4 linked regions of the Mus musculus genome follow. The protein of the gene in region 1 purifies or fractionates together with the protein of each later gene. This does not show direct contact. Links are inferred from orthologs where the notes say so. Each region holds a gene or a part of one and is shown on either strand. Other genes may lie near its edges. The genes, in order: Rad9a, Rfc5, Hus1b and Clspn.

Evidence for each region.
Region 2: the proteins of Rad9a (region 1) and Rfc5 purify together in Homo sapiens (affinity purification with mass spectrometry; 3 studies listed by BioGRID and IntAct, with this or other methods). This does not show direct contact. The link is inferred for Mus musculus from reciprocal best matches to the Homo sapiens genes RAD9A and RFC5.
Region 3: the proteins of Rad9a (region 1) and Hus1b purify together in Homo sapiens (co-immunoprecipitation; 3 studies listed by BioGRID and IntAct, counting the BioPlex papers as one, with this or other methods). This does not show direct contact. The link is inferred for Mus musculus from reciprocal best matches to the Homo sapiens genes RAD9A and HUS1B.
Region 4: the proteins of Rad9a (region 1) and Clspn purify together in Homo sapiens (affinity purification with western blotting; 3 studies listed by BioGRID and IntAct, with this or other methods). This does not show direct contact. The link is inferred for Mus musculus from reciprocal best matches to the Homo sapiens genes RAD9A and CLSPN.

Annotation. Positions count from the first base shown.
Region 1 is NC_000085.6:4,198,800-4,203,020, forward strand, and holds the start of Rad9a (cell cycle checkpoint control protein RAD9A), read right to left. Parts: upstream 2,805-4,221; 5' UTR 2,718-2,804; coding exon 2,684-2,717; intron 2,601-2,683; coding exon 2,530-2,600; intron 2,259-2,529; coding exon 2,130-2,258; intron 1,781-2,129; coding exon 1,666-1,780; intron 1,573-1,665; coding exon 1,473-1,572; intron 1-1,472. UniProt on the Homo sapiens protein: Component of the 9-1-1 cell-cycle checkpoint response complex that plays a major role in DNA repair. The 9-1-1 complex is recruited to DNA lesion upon damage by the RAD17-replication factor C (RFC) clamp loader complex.
Region 2 is NC_000071.6:117,386,083-117,390,530, forward strand, and holds the start of Rfc5 (replication factor C subunit 5), read right to left. Parts: upstream 2,942-4,448; 5' UTR 2,897-2,941; coding exon 2,835-2,896; intron 1,852-2,834; coding exon 1,787-1,851; intron 777-1,786; coding exon 640-776; intron 1-639. UniProt on the Homo sapiens protein: Subunit of the replication factor C (RFC) complex which acts during elongation of primed DNA templates by DNA polymerases delta and epsilon, and is necessary for ATP-dependent loading of proliferating cell nuclear antigen (PCNA) onto primed DNA.
Region 3 is NC_000079.6:30,945,999-30,949,274, forward strand, and holds Hus1b (checkpoint protein HUS1B), read right to left. Parts: upstream 1,764-3,276; 5' UTR 1,677-1,763; coding exon 846-1,676; 3' UTR 578-845; downstream 1-577.
Region 4 is NC_000070.6:126,577,378-126,581,123, forward strand, and holds part of Clspn (claspin), read left to right. Parts: intron 1-235; coding exon 236-465; intron 466-945; coding exon 946-1,057; intron 1,058-3,582; coding exon 3,583-3,658; intron 3,659-3,746.

The sequences.
Region 1 (4,221 bases):
GACAACAGCCCACTGGGTCCATTCTACCACGTAGGTTCTGAGGATTTAAAACCTGACAACTCAACTGGGCAGGCTTAAAGCAACGGCCTTAACTGCTGAGCTATCGTACTGACTTCTATATTTGAAACCGTATGTGAGAAAGAGAAGCAGTTAGGGCTGGGAATTTAGCTCAGAGATACAGAGTACCTAGCAAATACAGGGTCCTGGATTCTATTGCCAGTATTTATGGGGGAAAAAAAGGAATAGCCCCTCCAAAAAGGAACTCTTACCACTATTAACAGACCCTGCCTGGGGAAGCTAACTTTGGGAACTGAAGGGACTTTTATTCTGAGAAATGAATGGGACCTTGGGCTACTTGGATGCAAACAGTGTCCCGCACAGGCAGGGGAGAGTCCACTGCATCCTGGGCTTATCTTGAGTGACCTTAGTCTCTGCTGGAAGCACATTCCCCTTGCCACGCTGTGTCTTGATACTGACTGGTGGGCTGTGCAGCAGCCCTCCTAGACTCCAGCCTCCTTGCCCAGGTTCTTTTGGCCCAAAGTCTAGAGCCCTGGCAATTAGGAAGAAGCCACCAGAAGGGGGAATACTACCAGAAGAATGAGAGGTCAGAGTGCTTTGAACTCTATAACACAGGGTCCAGGACAGGCCTTCAGGGTTTTCCAGGTCATACAAGAGAGCTGCAGGCAGGTCATAGGCTCTCTAGAAAAGCAGTTGGAGCAGGCCTCTGGGATACAGATGGCAGGACCCCACAGTCAGTGGAAATGACAGAGAGGCAGCAGCTCCTGCTTTTGAAGAGCAAGGTAAGGGTCCAAATATGTACTGAGTTGTGTGGCCTCGACATAGAAACCCTGAGTCCCCGTCCCTCCTGCCCCCAAAGACAAAGGTGCTTTTGTGTTTTGTGTGAACTGTGAACATGCACGGGCAGAAGCCGGAAGATGTGCTCAGTGATGCTGCGTCTCAGGGCTGTCCATCTGGGGGTTTGGTTTTGTGCCCCCCCCCCAACACACACACTTTTTTTTTTTAAAGACAGGGTTTCTCTCTGTAGCCCTGCCTGTCCTGGAACTTGCTCTGTTGACCAGGCTGGCCTCACAGAGATCTGCCTGCCTCTGCCTCCTAAGTGCTGGGACTAAAGGCATCCACCACCACCACCACCCAATTAATACACATTTTTATATAAGTGGGACTCAAAACCAGGCCTTCAGGCTTGCACGTCAACCATTTTACTGAGTTATCTCGCCAGCACATGCACCCTTTTTTTGAGAAAGAGTCTCACTGCTTAGGCTACCTAGAAACTCAATGGCCTTCCCAGTGAAGTTTCCTAGAAACTTCTGATCCTCCCACCTCAATCTAAGAACTGCTACGATGACAGGCATAGGCTAGCCAGGCCTGCTGAAAATGGAGCATTCCTAGAATGACATTAAAGCCCTAAAGGTAGGAGAGACTCAGGCGAAGTTTGAAGCAGGGGTGCTTACCGTGCTGGGGTGCGCAATAAGTGAGGGCATGAGGCTGGGTCGAAGACAGCCTGCAGGGACTCACAGTCCTGGAAGGAGAGGTTGTGTGTCTTCTTGACCCCTGGATAAGGGAAATGGTCTCAGGGCTTGGCAACCTCCACTGCCACTGCCTCCACACCCACAGAGGAACTCTTTGGGCAGGCCGCTTGCTCACCATACTTGCAGTGGAGCTGGACCACCAGGTGGCTGTGGCTGCCACTGAGGGAGATACAGCACTTCTCCACAGACTTCTCCACAATTGCCAGAGAGCGGAAGACGGACAGGAAGGCCTGGGCAGGGTAGGACATCAGTCTGGCACACTGCTTCCACGGCCCAGCTCTACATCCCATGTAGGCCCTGGCCCCATCACTGGCCCCACAAAGCTGTGGTGTCTGCACACTCCCATGCTGCCTTGCCCATGCTGGTCTCTTTGCTGGGAAGGGCCACTAACCTTTTCTTGACCAATGTCACCACCCTCTCCACAGATCTTAGATAGCCCTCTACGGTCTAAACATCTTTACCTCACTGCATGTTGCATGGAATAGCTCCCATATGAGACTAACTCCCTAGTCAAACTCATCATTTACTGAGTACCTGGCACAGAGGCACAGCTGTGGAGCTGCTTCAGGTGGCCCTTACCTTCATCAGGATCTTACAGCGCAGCAGGTCCTGACCAGGGGAAGCCGCCTGGTACTGCTGGAAGAAGAGTGGGGCAAAAAGGAAGCAGGCATAGGCAGAACGGGACGAGTTCACAGTCCGTAGGGAGAGCTGAGACACAAAAAGCAGGCAAAATTGCTTTTCCCTTAAGTTACTTTAGCCCCACCTTGCCTGCCACTAGGCGTTCTAGGAAGAGCAAGTACCCTCTGTATAGACATGCAGCCTCAGAAGACTGGGCCCAAGCCGATGTCCGAACAACCCAAGAGATAATAAACTGCGCCGGAATATCTGTCCACCATCCCTGTAAGGCCGAATGAACACCAAGCCTAGGCTCCCCATTCACCATTGAATCCGCCCCCATCCCTGCGTCCCAGTCCCTTACCCCGTCCTTCAAGGGTTCCAGATAGAGCTCGTCCCCGATTCGGGATAGCGAATGGACAGCCTTGCCCAGCACTGCGGGGAGGAGAACAGAAAGTGGTTAGGGGGACTCCTGGGGCTTGCTCACGTGGTCTGCTGCAAGGTAGGTCCAAACTTACCCTTCACGTTGCCCCCGGTGATCAGGCACTTCATAGTACATAAGCACAAAAATCGAGCTTGTTTTGCACACGAACCGGGACGGGATAGGACATATAATGAGTCCCAGCAGCTACTACGACTGCCTAAAGTTCCCTTCCCGCGCACCGTCCCCTCCCCGCTGCCGGCCTGGCCTCCGCTTCCTTATTGGTTCACCCGGGGTTTCTCCGTCACGTGAGAAAAACGTTCCTAAGCTCGGTGTCACGTGATCTAGTCGGTTCATTGGGTGTGGCCCGGGTCACGTGACTGCGGAGGGCTTGCTCCTGTGTCCTTCCTCAGGTCTGATTCTCCCACCCGAACCCGAGCCCTGCACACCCTGCAGAGCTCTGCAGCTCCACTGGGCTGCACTGGGCATAGGTGAAGGGCATACTAGATGGAGGAGCAAGGTGTCTGCACCAAGGATCGAGCTCTGGACCAGAGCCCTAACGTGGGAAGTGTAGACCCTCCCGGGTCGCTAACTTTAGTGTGTGGGGTTACAGGGTCAAATCAAGATAGTCCGCGCTCAATCTGGGCTGGGGATTCTGTTGTGGCAGCAACCACCAGCTCCCCTCAAAAAACGTAACTCGCTTCAAGAGCGATGAGAAGGGGCTGTTCATTTTGCTTTCAGGATCCTTCACTGACCTTCGTAAATACATGGAAAGATGAGAAGGTTCTGGGACAGAAAAGGGTGGAAGGATGGACTTGTCAGAAGGAGGGGCAGAAGCAGAAGCACAATGGGGGTAGGCGAATATGGGTGAATGGGGTGTCCCGAGCCTTGTGCGGTAAGGGGTGGGGAGGCAGAGCTGAAGGGATGAACTGGGAAGCCCTGGGAAGGCTTAAGTACTACGCGGGGTTTGGTTTATGTACATTTTACCAATTACCCAGACAGTGTGGAAGGATGAAGATTTTCAGCTGGGACGCATTCACCTTGCTCTGGGAGGTAGTTCAAATGCCTAGAGCAACCCTTGCCCATCCCCCTGCGGGCCTGTGGGTAGTGGGGAGGGTGTGTTTGTTACCTAGCCCCTCTTTGTTTTTCTAGGCTCCTCTCCCTCTCCAAGTGCTTCTTTCCTAGAGCCTCCGGGGAGGAGGCGGCTTTCCCTTTCCACATCCAAGGCAAGCTGCATACAACGCAGAGGTGTCCAGTTCTCTGTTAGACTGGGAGTTAGGGGATTACCAGCATCCTCTCCTCCTCACTTGCTCACGTCTTCGGTGGATTCTGGCTGCTTCATTTCCCAAACAGATGGCAAAGTGGCCCTCCTTCTGTCTCCACTGTCCTCCTTTCACTGTCCAGACACAGTCCTCAGTGACCCGCCCCCCCCCCCCCCCCCGGTGGGCTTAACTCTCCTGGCAAAGTCCAGTCTCTTGATCAGGAACTTTGAGGATCCAGGTCCCACAGAGGTCTTCACTGTCTCCTACCCCACATGATCACCTATCTCCATAGCCCTGCCAGGCTCTTAGCGGCCACTCTGGCTGCTTCCAAGGCTGTAGCCTGCTTCTCCCATGCTGACTTCTCTTCCTGGGC
Region 2 (4,448 bases), on another chromosome or scaffold:
GCCAAGGTCCCAAGAGTTCACAGACAGCATGGCTCAGAGCAGTAATCTAAGAAGATCCTGATGAAGAGACATTTTTAAAGGTGTTTGTCGAGCAGTGGTTCTCAACCTGTGGGTTTTGACCCCAAGGGGTGTCGAATGACCTTTTCACGGGTTGCCTAAGACTATCAAAAAAACAGATAACTGTACTACAATTCATAACAGTAGCAAAATTACAGTTGTGAAGTAGTAATGAACATAATTTTATAGTTGGGGGTCACCACATCATAACAAACTGTATTAAAAGGTCGAAACATTAGGAAGATTGAGAACCACTAGCCTAAACTAAAGAGATATGCAGTATTCATTATCACCACGAAATCTTAAGGGGTTCAACAAGAGCTGTGGGCAGGTAGAGCAGGCTGTGTGGGCAGGGTACAACCTCTAAGTTGGCCCCGCAGAAAGTAGAGGCTGCCAGGTGTTAATGCCCTAGCAAGTCTAAGCAGTATCCCCCATTTTGACACCCCCCAACTCCCCCCAAAACACACACAAGATCCCATTGGTCAAACACAGCCAGGACTCAGATGGTCAGGGAATAAAAGAAGGACAAAGGTTAAGTGTCTGGAGGTCTGAGCTGTTGTGGAGTGAGAGTGTCTCCTTCACCTCCAAGACCATGGAGCCAAATTCTTTATCTTTGTACAGTTGCTTGGCACAGGCCAGGATGGTGGATGTCTTTCCTGTCCCTGGAGGGCCATAGAGAAGTAGGTGTGGCAGGCGGTCTTCACTGATGAACTTCTGAACTGAGGGACAGGAAGGGGTGACATGTGTCAGTCTCTGGGTCCTACACAATCACCTTAGGACCTGGTTATGCTAAATCCAGATATGCTTCAGTTTTTCAGTGTCCTAGTCGGAGTAGACAGGGAGGGGAAGTCCTGAAGTCACACCACAGTTTGTCTGTCTGTCTATCTGTCTTCCACACTAGCTATCTTGGGAGGGTCTATTAAGTTGAGAGCAGAAGTTCTCAACCTGTCTCGACACTTTTAGGAGCTACATATCGCACACATACCCTGCCTATCAGACATTTATTTACATTATAATTTGTAACAGTACCAAATTCCATTTATTAAGTAGCAATGAAATAATTTTATGGTGGGGGGGGGTGGTCACCACAACATGGGGAACTGTATTAAAAGGGCCACATCTTTAGGAAGGTTGAGAGCCACTGGTTTAGAGGCACAGCCTCATTGGAGGAGTCAGGTCACCAAACTCGTGCCTTTGAGGGTCATACTGCTTGCTCCCCCACCCCTTTAGCTCTCTACTTCCTGTCCACTTTGGAGCAGAGTGCTCCCACTGCCACGAAGTTGTGCTCACCAAGGGTCTAGAGTCAACAGAGCCAAGCACTGTGAACCAAAACCTCTTCAAAATCAACCATCCCTCTTCTGTGTTGTCTTCTTGGGACATGGGGGGATTGGGAAGGTGCCTCAGTTAAGCCGGGTGCTCTTGCAGAGGATCTGGGTTTGGTTCCTAGCACCTACATAGCAGCTCACAACTGCCTACAGGATCCAGGGTCCTCTTCTGGCCTCTGGAGGAGCCAGGCACACAAGGTGCACACACTTTCATGTGTAAACAAAACACCTAAACAGTAAAACCAAACAGATCTTGAGACAGTTTGGTACACTATGGAGAAGGCGACACATGGCCGGTTCTATAAAGGCTCAGAGCATCCTCTAAGGGTCACCCAGCAGAGACATCGTCATCACGAAATGGACCCAACCCTCCACAAGGACAGCAGCAACAGACAGATACTTACTGGTACTCAGAATGTCCTGGTGAGAAATGAGATCGGCCAGGGTCTGTGGCCGGTACTTCTCAACCCTGAAATAGGATTCACCGTTAAGTTACAATCTATATACTCAAGCCATGTTCTGTTACATGCAAAGAAGCCCCTTCACATCCTAAGCAGCAGAGGAAGAGAAACCCTTCGCGTCTGAACAGAGCACTGGCTCTCACAACCAGGAGTTGTTCTGTCCCCCCAGGGGACATCGGTCAGGCCAGTTATCTGTATTAACTGTGCAATGGGTGTTAGCAGCATCTGTTGAGTAGGAGTCAGGAGGTTGCTAACATCCTCCAGTGGGCAGGACAGCTCCCCCTTGCCCCTCACCAACAGCGCTGAGACTGCGCAAACGGAACTCATACTCAAATACCTATAAGCAAGAGAACGGGCAATCCACTTATGATGTGGCTTTCAAGAGGGAATCGAGTGCTGAACCATGCTACAGAACAGAAAACCCTTGAGTTCGAGAAGCCAGACTCAAAAGGCCACACGGTCTGTGACTCCAGTCCTGAGAATTTAAATACCGTGTGGCCTGAGACAAGTCTTCCTCCTCAGGATAGACCAGAAGAAAAGAAAATGAAAGCATGGCTAGGCTTGCTTCATTTAAAACACCGCTAAGGTGCTGTAGGGCCATTCAGAATGCAGGCGCTGGGGCCCTGGGTGGAAGATCAGGTCCCTGCAAGTTGTCCTCTGACCTCCACCAGGGTGCGCTGCTACGGTCCCTCCCCCGCAAATAAAGAGGGGATAGAGTGCAAGCGCTGAATTCGGACACGAGTTCGAATCCAACCAAGCCTACCCACTCCTCCGTCCTCGGAACCTTTCTAAAGAAACCCAGGATCAATTTATTAGGGTCATCGGAGCGCAGAGGCGATGCTCGAGGACCCCGAGGATGGCTAAGCTGAGCTCAGAGCCCGTTCAGGTATGGAAGCGGAGGAGCGGCTGCGGCGCCAAGGCCGGGAGCGGGGAAGGATCTGCAAAGCTCCTAGGAGGAAGAGCGGGAAGCGGGATGTGGGGCCGCTCCTACCAGGGCAGGTTCCGGGCCCGGGCCGCCGCGGGCCGCTGCTGCGAAGGCGCGGCCGCCGTCATGACTGACAGATGCTGCGGGTCCCTGCCACTGACCCGCCGCACTCGGAGTCCGCGCGCAAACCAACCCTCGCGAGGCTTCGCCTCCGGCTTCCGGCTTCCGTCCCCCGGCCCGCCTCCTCCCCGTTGCTAAGGTGCTGGTTGCTAGGTAACCCTAGGCGCCGGCCTGCAGCGGAGTTACCGCCTGAGTCGGCTGTCTCAGCCTCCTCGCACGAGGTCCAGGGTGACCGCGCGCTGAAGCCAGAGCCACCGCGGGCCTCACCAGGGCCCGATCCTGTCAGTGCAGGGGCAAGCCGCAAGGAGCAGCAAGGTGTGTGGTCAGTGCAACCTCGGTTCCATAACCAGCAACACACACACAGAGACACACGTACATATACAGGTATGCACACAGTTACAAATATACATATACATACATCCCCATTCACATACATATAAACAGATATACGCCTGCACTCACATACACATACAGATACATACACACAAGTATACACAAATACACAGTTAATACGCATACATACATACATACATGCATACATATATACTCACATATACATGTATATCACACACATATATATACACACAGAACATACACATTCAATCATATATACACATAAATACAGTTACATATATACACATACATGCATACATATATTCATATAAATACATACAAACATTTGTGTTTTATACACACAAATGCATTTTCTCCTACAGTAAGAGGATTACAGACCAATTTTATTTATTTATTTGTTTGTTTGTTTATTTATTTATTTGATTAGTTTTGAGACAGGGTTTCTCTCTGTATCTTTGGCTATCCTGAAGCTCACTCTGTAGGCCAGGTTAGCCTCAAACCCAGAGATCCACCTGCCTCTACCTCCCAAGTGCAGGGATTAATTAAATGTGAGCTTCACCGTTTGCCTGGTGACCAATTTTATTTTCATCTTTAGCTTTTACTTTGAGCCAGGTATGCCTTTAATTCGAGTACTTGGGAGGCAGAAGCAGATGGATCTCTGTGAGTTCAAGGTCTACAGAGTGGCCTCTAGGACAGCTAGGGCTACATAGTGAGACCCTGTCTTAAAAACTCGAAAGAAAACTAACTTTAATTAATTTGTGTGTGCCTCGCTGCACATGTGGAGGCCATGTGCATCAATTTTCAAGAGTTGGTCTTCTTTCTTATGCAGACGTCCTGGGAATCGAACTTAGCTGTCAAGCTTGGCCGTTTGAATCGCAAGATCATCCTTGACTGCATATCCAGCTCATGGCCAGCCTGGTGGTGTACTTAACTACCTTTGGAGTCAAGCAGCTGCCATCTGGGGGAGTTCAGCTGTGTCCACTTACAAAAGAATTACCTTAGCTGGACTTTTTGACCGTTTACATCCCCTCACGGAAGACCCTCACCTGAGTATCCACTGGCTCCCTATAATTTATTGTGTGCAACTCTGCCTTAATTGCACATGGCTTGCCTGGAGGGCAGGGGTGGGGGGAGGAGACTAGAGTACTCAGATTAAGAAAGACTAGGAGAGAGGTCTTTATCTAAGCAGCTATGGGAAAACCCTTA
Region 3 (3,276 bases), on another chromosome or scaffold:
CTCTGCTTCCTACACAAAGTTTAGGGTTTGAGCTCTTGGCTATTCCTGTACCATGACTGTCATCTGCTGCCAAGATTCCCTGTCATAATGGATTCTTATTGTTCTAAAAACCATAAGGCAAAAACCCCTCCTTTCTATAAGTTGCCTGGGTCATTGTGTTTGAGCTTACCAATAGAAATCAGAAAGCATGTCTGTGTTACAGCACAGACATATACACACACAACCTGAATATCCCGAAGCTTTCCCAAAATAGCGTTTACAAATAGTTCTCACCTTTCTTTAAATAGTCACCAAACAAACAAGTGTCTGACTCCGAGGTGAGGAAGAGAGTTGTCAGAGAGTTTAAACCCTGAAATGGCTACTCACCAGTAACGTAAAGACTCCTACCGAGGACCTTCAGAAGACCCTTGTTTGCCTCTCGGAATCTGTGGTGGACATACAAAATCCATCTCAGACCTTTCAGAGAGACTGAGCGCATTAAGTCTCTCAAAATACTTAGTTTATTTTAAAAGGAGAATTTTCTCACTCTTCACAATTTATTTCATAATAAAATAATACAATAATTGTTTCAGGATTCAGTTATATTATTTTATTATAATCCTTTTTTTCCAAAACAACTAAGTTGAATATAATGTAACTGTCAAAACCAAAAAAACAATCACATGAACTTTTAATTATTTCTCCAACTGTTTCTTAACAGTTTACAAAGGAAGCACTCAACAAAATAAACACTCTACCAAATCCATGGGGTTGCAGGCTTTTAACACAAGTAACTCAAAGTCTCAGTTCTGGAAAGTGCTTCAATTAAGAATTCTTTTAAAAAGAAAATCAAGGCTGCTTGAAATTCATGAAGCAGGAATAAAATACTGAAGAGAAATATCTTCATGAACCAAAACAAGATGAAGCAGAGTATTGCTCAAAATATTACATAAGGCCATTGTGGGGTTTATCTGATGTCCATCAAAACACTGTAGAAGCTTCCTATTATCCACCCGCACTTGCACCATGGTTTCTGGGTCTCTGCCTTGAGACATACACAGAACGGCATTTGGAGGATTTCCAAGATTTTTAAAATAGCTTTTAATAGTCACTCTATCAGTTTCTACAGTCAAGTTCATTCTGCCATTGAGGTTTGCTTCCACCAGCACATGACTGCCCACGTTTGCCATCCTTTCCACCATGTTCTTCAAGGTCTTCAGAGCTGGCAGATAAACACTCACATCAGAGCCCCGAACATGGGGCTCTGTGCAGTCTTTCCATCGCCTTCTGGGAAGCACCCTCACAGGCAAATCGTGGACCACAGCACGGGTGTGGCCGGGGCACGATGCCAGCTCCACCACCAAAGTAAGGCAGGGGCGCTGCTTGTTGGTGAGCTGGAGCTTCAGGGATGAAGCATTGCCGGCATTCTTCACGGCTCTGGCCAGATGCTCAGACATCAGCTCAAGACAGATCTCGTTGAACTCCTGCGAGGCACCCTCCATGCAGAAGTGGTGGAAGACATCGCGCCGCATCTCACCCCACAGCTGGGCCTCACCCAGCAGCCCCATGGGACAGAAGTACAGCCTGTCAGGGCACACACGGAGCACACAGACCTTCGCCAGCTTTGCTACGGTGCTGCTGACCTGAATGAAGAGCTCTATAAAACGCTTGCTGGTGATCCTGGCCCGAAACCTCATGGTGCCTCAAAACCTCGGTGGTAGAGAGAGCTGTGAGGAGCCCGCTGCCAGAGAAGTCAGCTGGTTCACTCTTCCGGCCTGGAGTGTAGCCTGCTTACCCTTCCGGCCTGGGACACAGCCAGTTCACCTACCAAGACTGGGGTGCGCTCTACTGCCCCTCCCTCCTGCCCCAGCACTGCCTGCATTTGGGTTCCACCTACCTGCAGGCCCACTTACACCTGAGGCCACCGAGGGCAGATGCTACAGGGACACACTTTGGACTGTCTCTTCACCTTCCTACCTACCTGCCCTATTTGAATATTTCACTGCTTCTGGTCTGCTCATAAGAAGGTCACTCTACATAGTGTGACTACAATTAAAATCACCAGCACCATTGAGACAACCAACCCTTTTAAAACATTTTGGTGCATACATATACTAAATATATATTATAGTCCTGTTCAGTCCAGACATTACTTGCAGACGTTACTACATGTCTTATAAATAATGTGATAAATTGGATACACATTTTATAACCTGGCATTTGTGCCTAAAATGCACATATAATGGATATCACTCCATACTATCACATGCTAGCAAGTCTATATCATTTTCATGGCTAGTTTTCCAGTATATTGATAAAAATAATTATTCTATAAGAGGAATTTACATGATCCAATTTTGACCTATTCCTAGGATAACAATGAATTACACAAAATACATTTACTTTTGTCAGTATTTACTTGAGTTAAGTTTAAAGGGAAATCTTGGTTATTGCATGTACATATTAAAACTCTTCTGTTACCAAACTTTCCCAAAGAAATTTCTATCAACATACCTTCTCATCAGCAGCATCATATAACAATCTATGTTGTATGTAGTGATGTGATAGGTAGAAGAGCATGGCTTCAACTTACAATGTATGTATGTGAATTTTACATTCATGACCTTTTGTGGAGTTTGTTGCTTGATTTTTAAGATCTCTGATAAGACCAGGCTGGTGACACATTCCAATAATTCCAACACAGGGGCCCAGAGGCAAGGAGGAAGGATCACAAGTTTAAGGAAAGTTAGGGTTACATTCTAGGCCAGTCTAAGCTACATGGTGAGATTTTTATCTTAAATAAATAAATGGGTAACAAAAGAATAAAATCTCTGACAAGAACATTAGCCCTCTGTCCCTGTAAATATGGCCCAGGTTAGTATTTGGCTTTCATATTATTGATGATGTTCTTTACCCTTAAGAAAATACTGAATCTTTGTATGTGAAATGTATTTGTCTTTTTTTTTTTTTGTGCTCCTAGAGTCCTGATCCATGTGAAATACAAAGGATGAAGCTCAAACTTCTATACTCATCTAGTACAGCAGAGTGTTTGCTCAGCTCCACTTTTTTCAACTAGGCAGTGATGATGATGGCACAGATCTCTGACTAAGGTGTCTTAGAGACCAAGATCTGACTGCTTTCTTCATCTTACTCCTGCCCCAAAATGAGTCCTGACTCTCATTCCAATCTTTTTTTTATTATTATTTTGGTTTTTTTTTTCAAGACAGGGTTTCTCTGTGTAGTTCCCTGGCCCGGGAACTAACTCGTAGACCAGGCTGGCGTCGAACTCAGAAATCT
Region 4 (3,746 bases), on another chromosome or scaffold:
ATGAGCCACCGTATACATGAGAAGGTCACAGGACAACTTGCTGAAGTTAGTTCCCTCTACCTTGTGGATTCTGGGAATGGAACTGAACGCCTCAGGCTTTGCAGCGAGCACCTTTCCCACTCAGCGGTCTTGCTGGCCACGTTCAGCTTCTAACCCTGGTGCTGGAAGTCAGGAGGTTTTTACCTGTCGTTTGTCTCTCCTCTGGGTAATTTCCGACACTTCACTGTACTCGTAGATTTTTAAACATTAGAAATCACCGCCATCGATATCAGGCTGTGAAGCCCCAGTTGCCACTGGCCAGCATGGACGAGAATGCCATGGACGCCAACATGGACGAGCTGCTGGATTTGTGCACTGGACAGTTTACATCTCAGCCTGAGGAGAAATGTCAACCAAGGAAGAATGACAAAAAAGAAAACATGGAGGAACTTTTGAATCTCTGCTCGGGCAAATTTCCTACTCAAGGTAAATGTTCTGCGAGAGTCCAGGTAGCACAGCGAGAATTCAGTCAGCTCATGTCACCGTCCCCGGAAAGAAGCTCTTGCCCCCTCTCTGTAAGTGCACAGAAAACAGGGATGGGATGGAATCCTGCCACTTCCTCACCTTTACAGTGACACTGTCAACTTAGGACTGCTTTAGCTTCAGCATCACAGTGTATAACTTAATCTCTCTACGGAGGTTAGAACAGTGTCTGGTGGGGAGTAAACGTTGCATGCTTGCTGAAACAGGAAGTGGGCTCTCTGAGGTAATTGGGTGTTCATTTTGTTCATGACTGTCTTCCTGGGGCTCAGCACACAGTAAATATGAGGAAGGATTTGTTGAAAGAATGGATGGTGAACTTTTCCACATCCCACCTAAGAACTGAATTGAGCTGGTGGGTACATAGATGGCCAGGAGAGCAGAGGTGGCGTTTCCTTCCTTACTGGCCTTTCCTTGTTGAGGTAGATGCCTCCCCGGTGGCCCCACTGGGGCTGAGGAGTCAGGAGAAGGAGAGCAGCACAGAAGATCCGATGGAAGAGGCACTTGCTCTTTGCTCCGGCTCTTTCCCAACAGACAGGTGAGTCTCAAAGGTTGTCGGGAACGCAGGAAGATGAAACCCTAGGATCCGCTGGCATAGTGATGCACACCTTTAATCCCAGCACTCTGGAGACAGAGGCAGGCGGATCTCTTGAGTTCCAGGACAGCCAGGGATACACCGAGAAAACAAAAGCAAAAAAACAACCAACTAAGCAATCCTAGGATCCGGTTCTCTGTGTTTAGCAACAAACTAAGTAACTTTGGGAAAGGCAGATCTTTTAAGGTGACTACAGTTTTTATATAAACTAAGTATTGGCAAAGATCAGGGAAACCTCTGCTTGTTCTTGGTGAGCTGCTAGGGAAACAAGTTCAGTGGTTTCTCAGAGCTGATAATAGAATTGCCATCTGATCCAGCAGCTCCACTTTGGCTCTAGAGAAGTCTGAGTGGTGGCACATGCCTGTTACCTCAAAAAGAACCTCAGAAAGCCTAGTGTGGTATGTGCTTAGAATCCAATAGTCTAGAAACAGGCAAGAAAATCAAGTTCAGGCCAGGTAAGTGGCTCAGTGTCAAATACTTGACACCAAGCCTAAAGACCTGAGTTCAATCCCTAGTGTCTAACGAGGTGGGAAAGAACCAACCTCTACAAGTTGACCTCTGGCCTCTTTATGTAGTATAGTAGTTATAACGTGTGTAGTTATAGATGCACATGCCTGTACATTCACACACAGTAAATAAATAAATGTATAAATAAATGAAGGCAAGAAGGGTGAGGTCAGCCCTGCTACTCCTTTCTTATACCTAAATGAATAAAACAGGTTTTTATAATTTGTGTTTAACATAATTTGATAATAGCCAAAATAAAGAGGAAGTGTGGCTGCTGACTTGTTAAGGTTATTGTTGCTGTGATAAAACACCACGAGAAAAAGCAAATTGGAAGGGCTGGAGAGATGGCTCAGTGTTTAAGAGCACTGACTGCTCTTCCAAAGGTTGTGAGTTCAAATCCCAGCAACCACATGATGGTTTACAACCATCTGTAATGAGATTGATGCCCTCTTCTGGTGTGTCTAAAGACAGCTACAGTGTACTCACCATATAATAAATAAATAAGTCTTTTTTTTTTTTTAAAGCAAATTGGGGAGGAAAGGGTTTATTTAGCTTACTCTTCCTCATCACTGTTCATCATCAAAAGAAATCAAGACAGAAACTTAAGCAGGGCAGGAATCTGAAGACAGGAGCTGATACAGAGGCCATGGAGGAGTGTGCATACTGACTAGCTCAACCTGCTTTCTTATAGAACCCAGGACCACCAGTCCAGGACCACCTCAGTGGGCTGGGCCCTCCTCCATCAGTCACTCATTAAGAAAATGCACTACAGGAGCTAGAGAGGTGGCTCAGTGGTTAAGAGCACTGGCTGCTCTTCCAAACAACCTGGGCTCGATTCCTGGCAACTGCATGGCAGCTCACAACTCTCTATAGCTAGGGTTCTAGAATCTGACATCTTCATGCAGACATATATGCCGGCAAAACACCAATGAGTGTAAAATAATACAGTGAAAAGAAAAAGAAAATGTCCTATACACTTGCGTACCACTCTGTCTTATGGAGGCATTTTCTCAATTGAGGCTCCCTCCTCCATGATTATAGCTTGTGTCAGGTTGACATAAAACTAGCCAGCACATCTGCTAAATAGAATTTATATGCATTACATGGCTTTAAAAGGAAGGAAATTTGTTTTTGTTATTTGAGACCAGGTCTTCCTATGCAGCCCATACTGGCCTGGAATTCACTGTTAGTTCAGGCTGACCTCAAACTAGTAATCCTCTGCTTCATCCACCAAGTGTGTACATCAAACCCAGCCAATAGGAGGGAAGTATGACACATGCTTCACCATGGAGGGACCGTGACGATATGCTAGGAACAAGAAACATTTGTCACTGAGGGACAAGTACTGTATAAGTCTGCCTATATAGTCACTGGAGTAAGCAGTTTGACAGAGACAGGAAATTAGATGGTGGCTGGAGAAAGAGAGGAAGATTTGTCTAATAGGCGTAGAGTTTTTACTACCTGAAGGACTTCGGAGGTTGCTTATATAATAGTCTCAACGTAATTTTTTCTGTTTTGTTTTGAGACTAGGTCTCATTCTGTAGCCCTGGCTGACCTGGACCTCACTCTATAGACCAGATTAGCCTCAAACTCACAGAGATCCTACTTCCTTCTGTCTCCCAAGTGCTGGAATGAAAGGCCTGGACCACTACACCCAGGGATGACTAGCCTTTCTAGTCAGTCCACTCTGAGCATCCTTATCTCTGCCTTATGAGGCTGTAATTACAGGTGGGCCACTCTGCCAAGCTGGCACTGATGCAGGTTCTGGGGTCAAAACTCCAGTTTTCACAGTAGCAGGGTAAATGCTTTAGCCCTCAGGCTCAAAACACCTTTTTAAAAAGACAAAATACCTCATTTCCCGCTTCTTAAAAGAAATTTCTGGTGCTGATGAGTGTCTTAAGTCCTTAGCTTGGCTGGCTGCTTGTGGTGTGCTTTCAGTAACTTAGTGTTTTGTCCTCTAGGGAGGAAGAGGGTGAAGAGGAGGAATTTGGAGACTTCCAGCTTGTTTCAAAGGAGAATGGATTTGCTAGTGACGAGGTGAGTGCAGAGAGAGTACAACCAAGCTCCACTCGGTGCTCCCCTGCCCTCGTTCTTGAGAACTGAGCTTAGCGTCTTACCAGAAGCA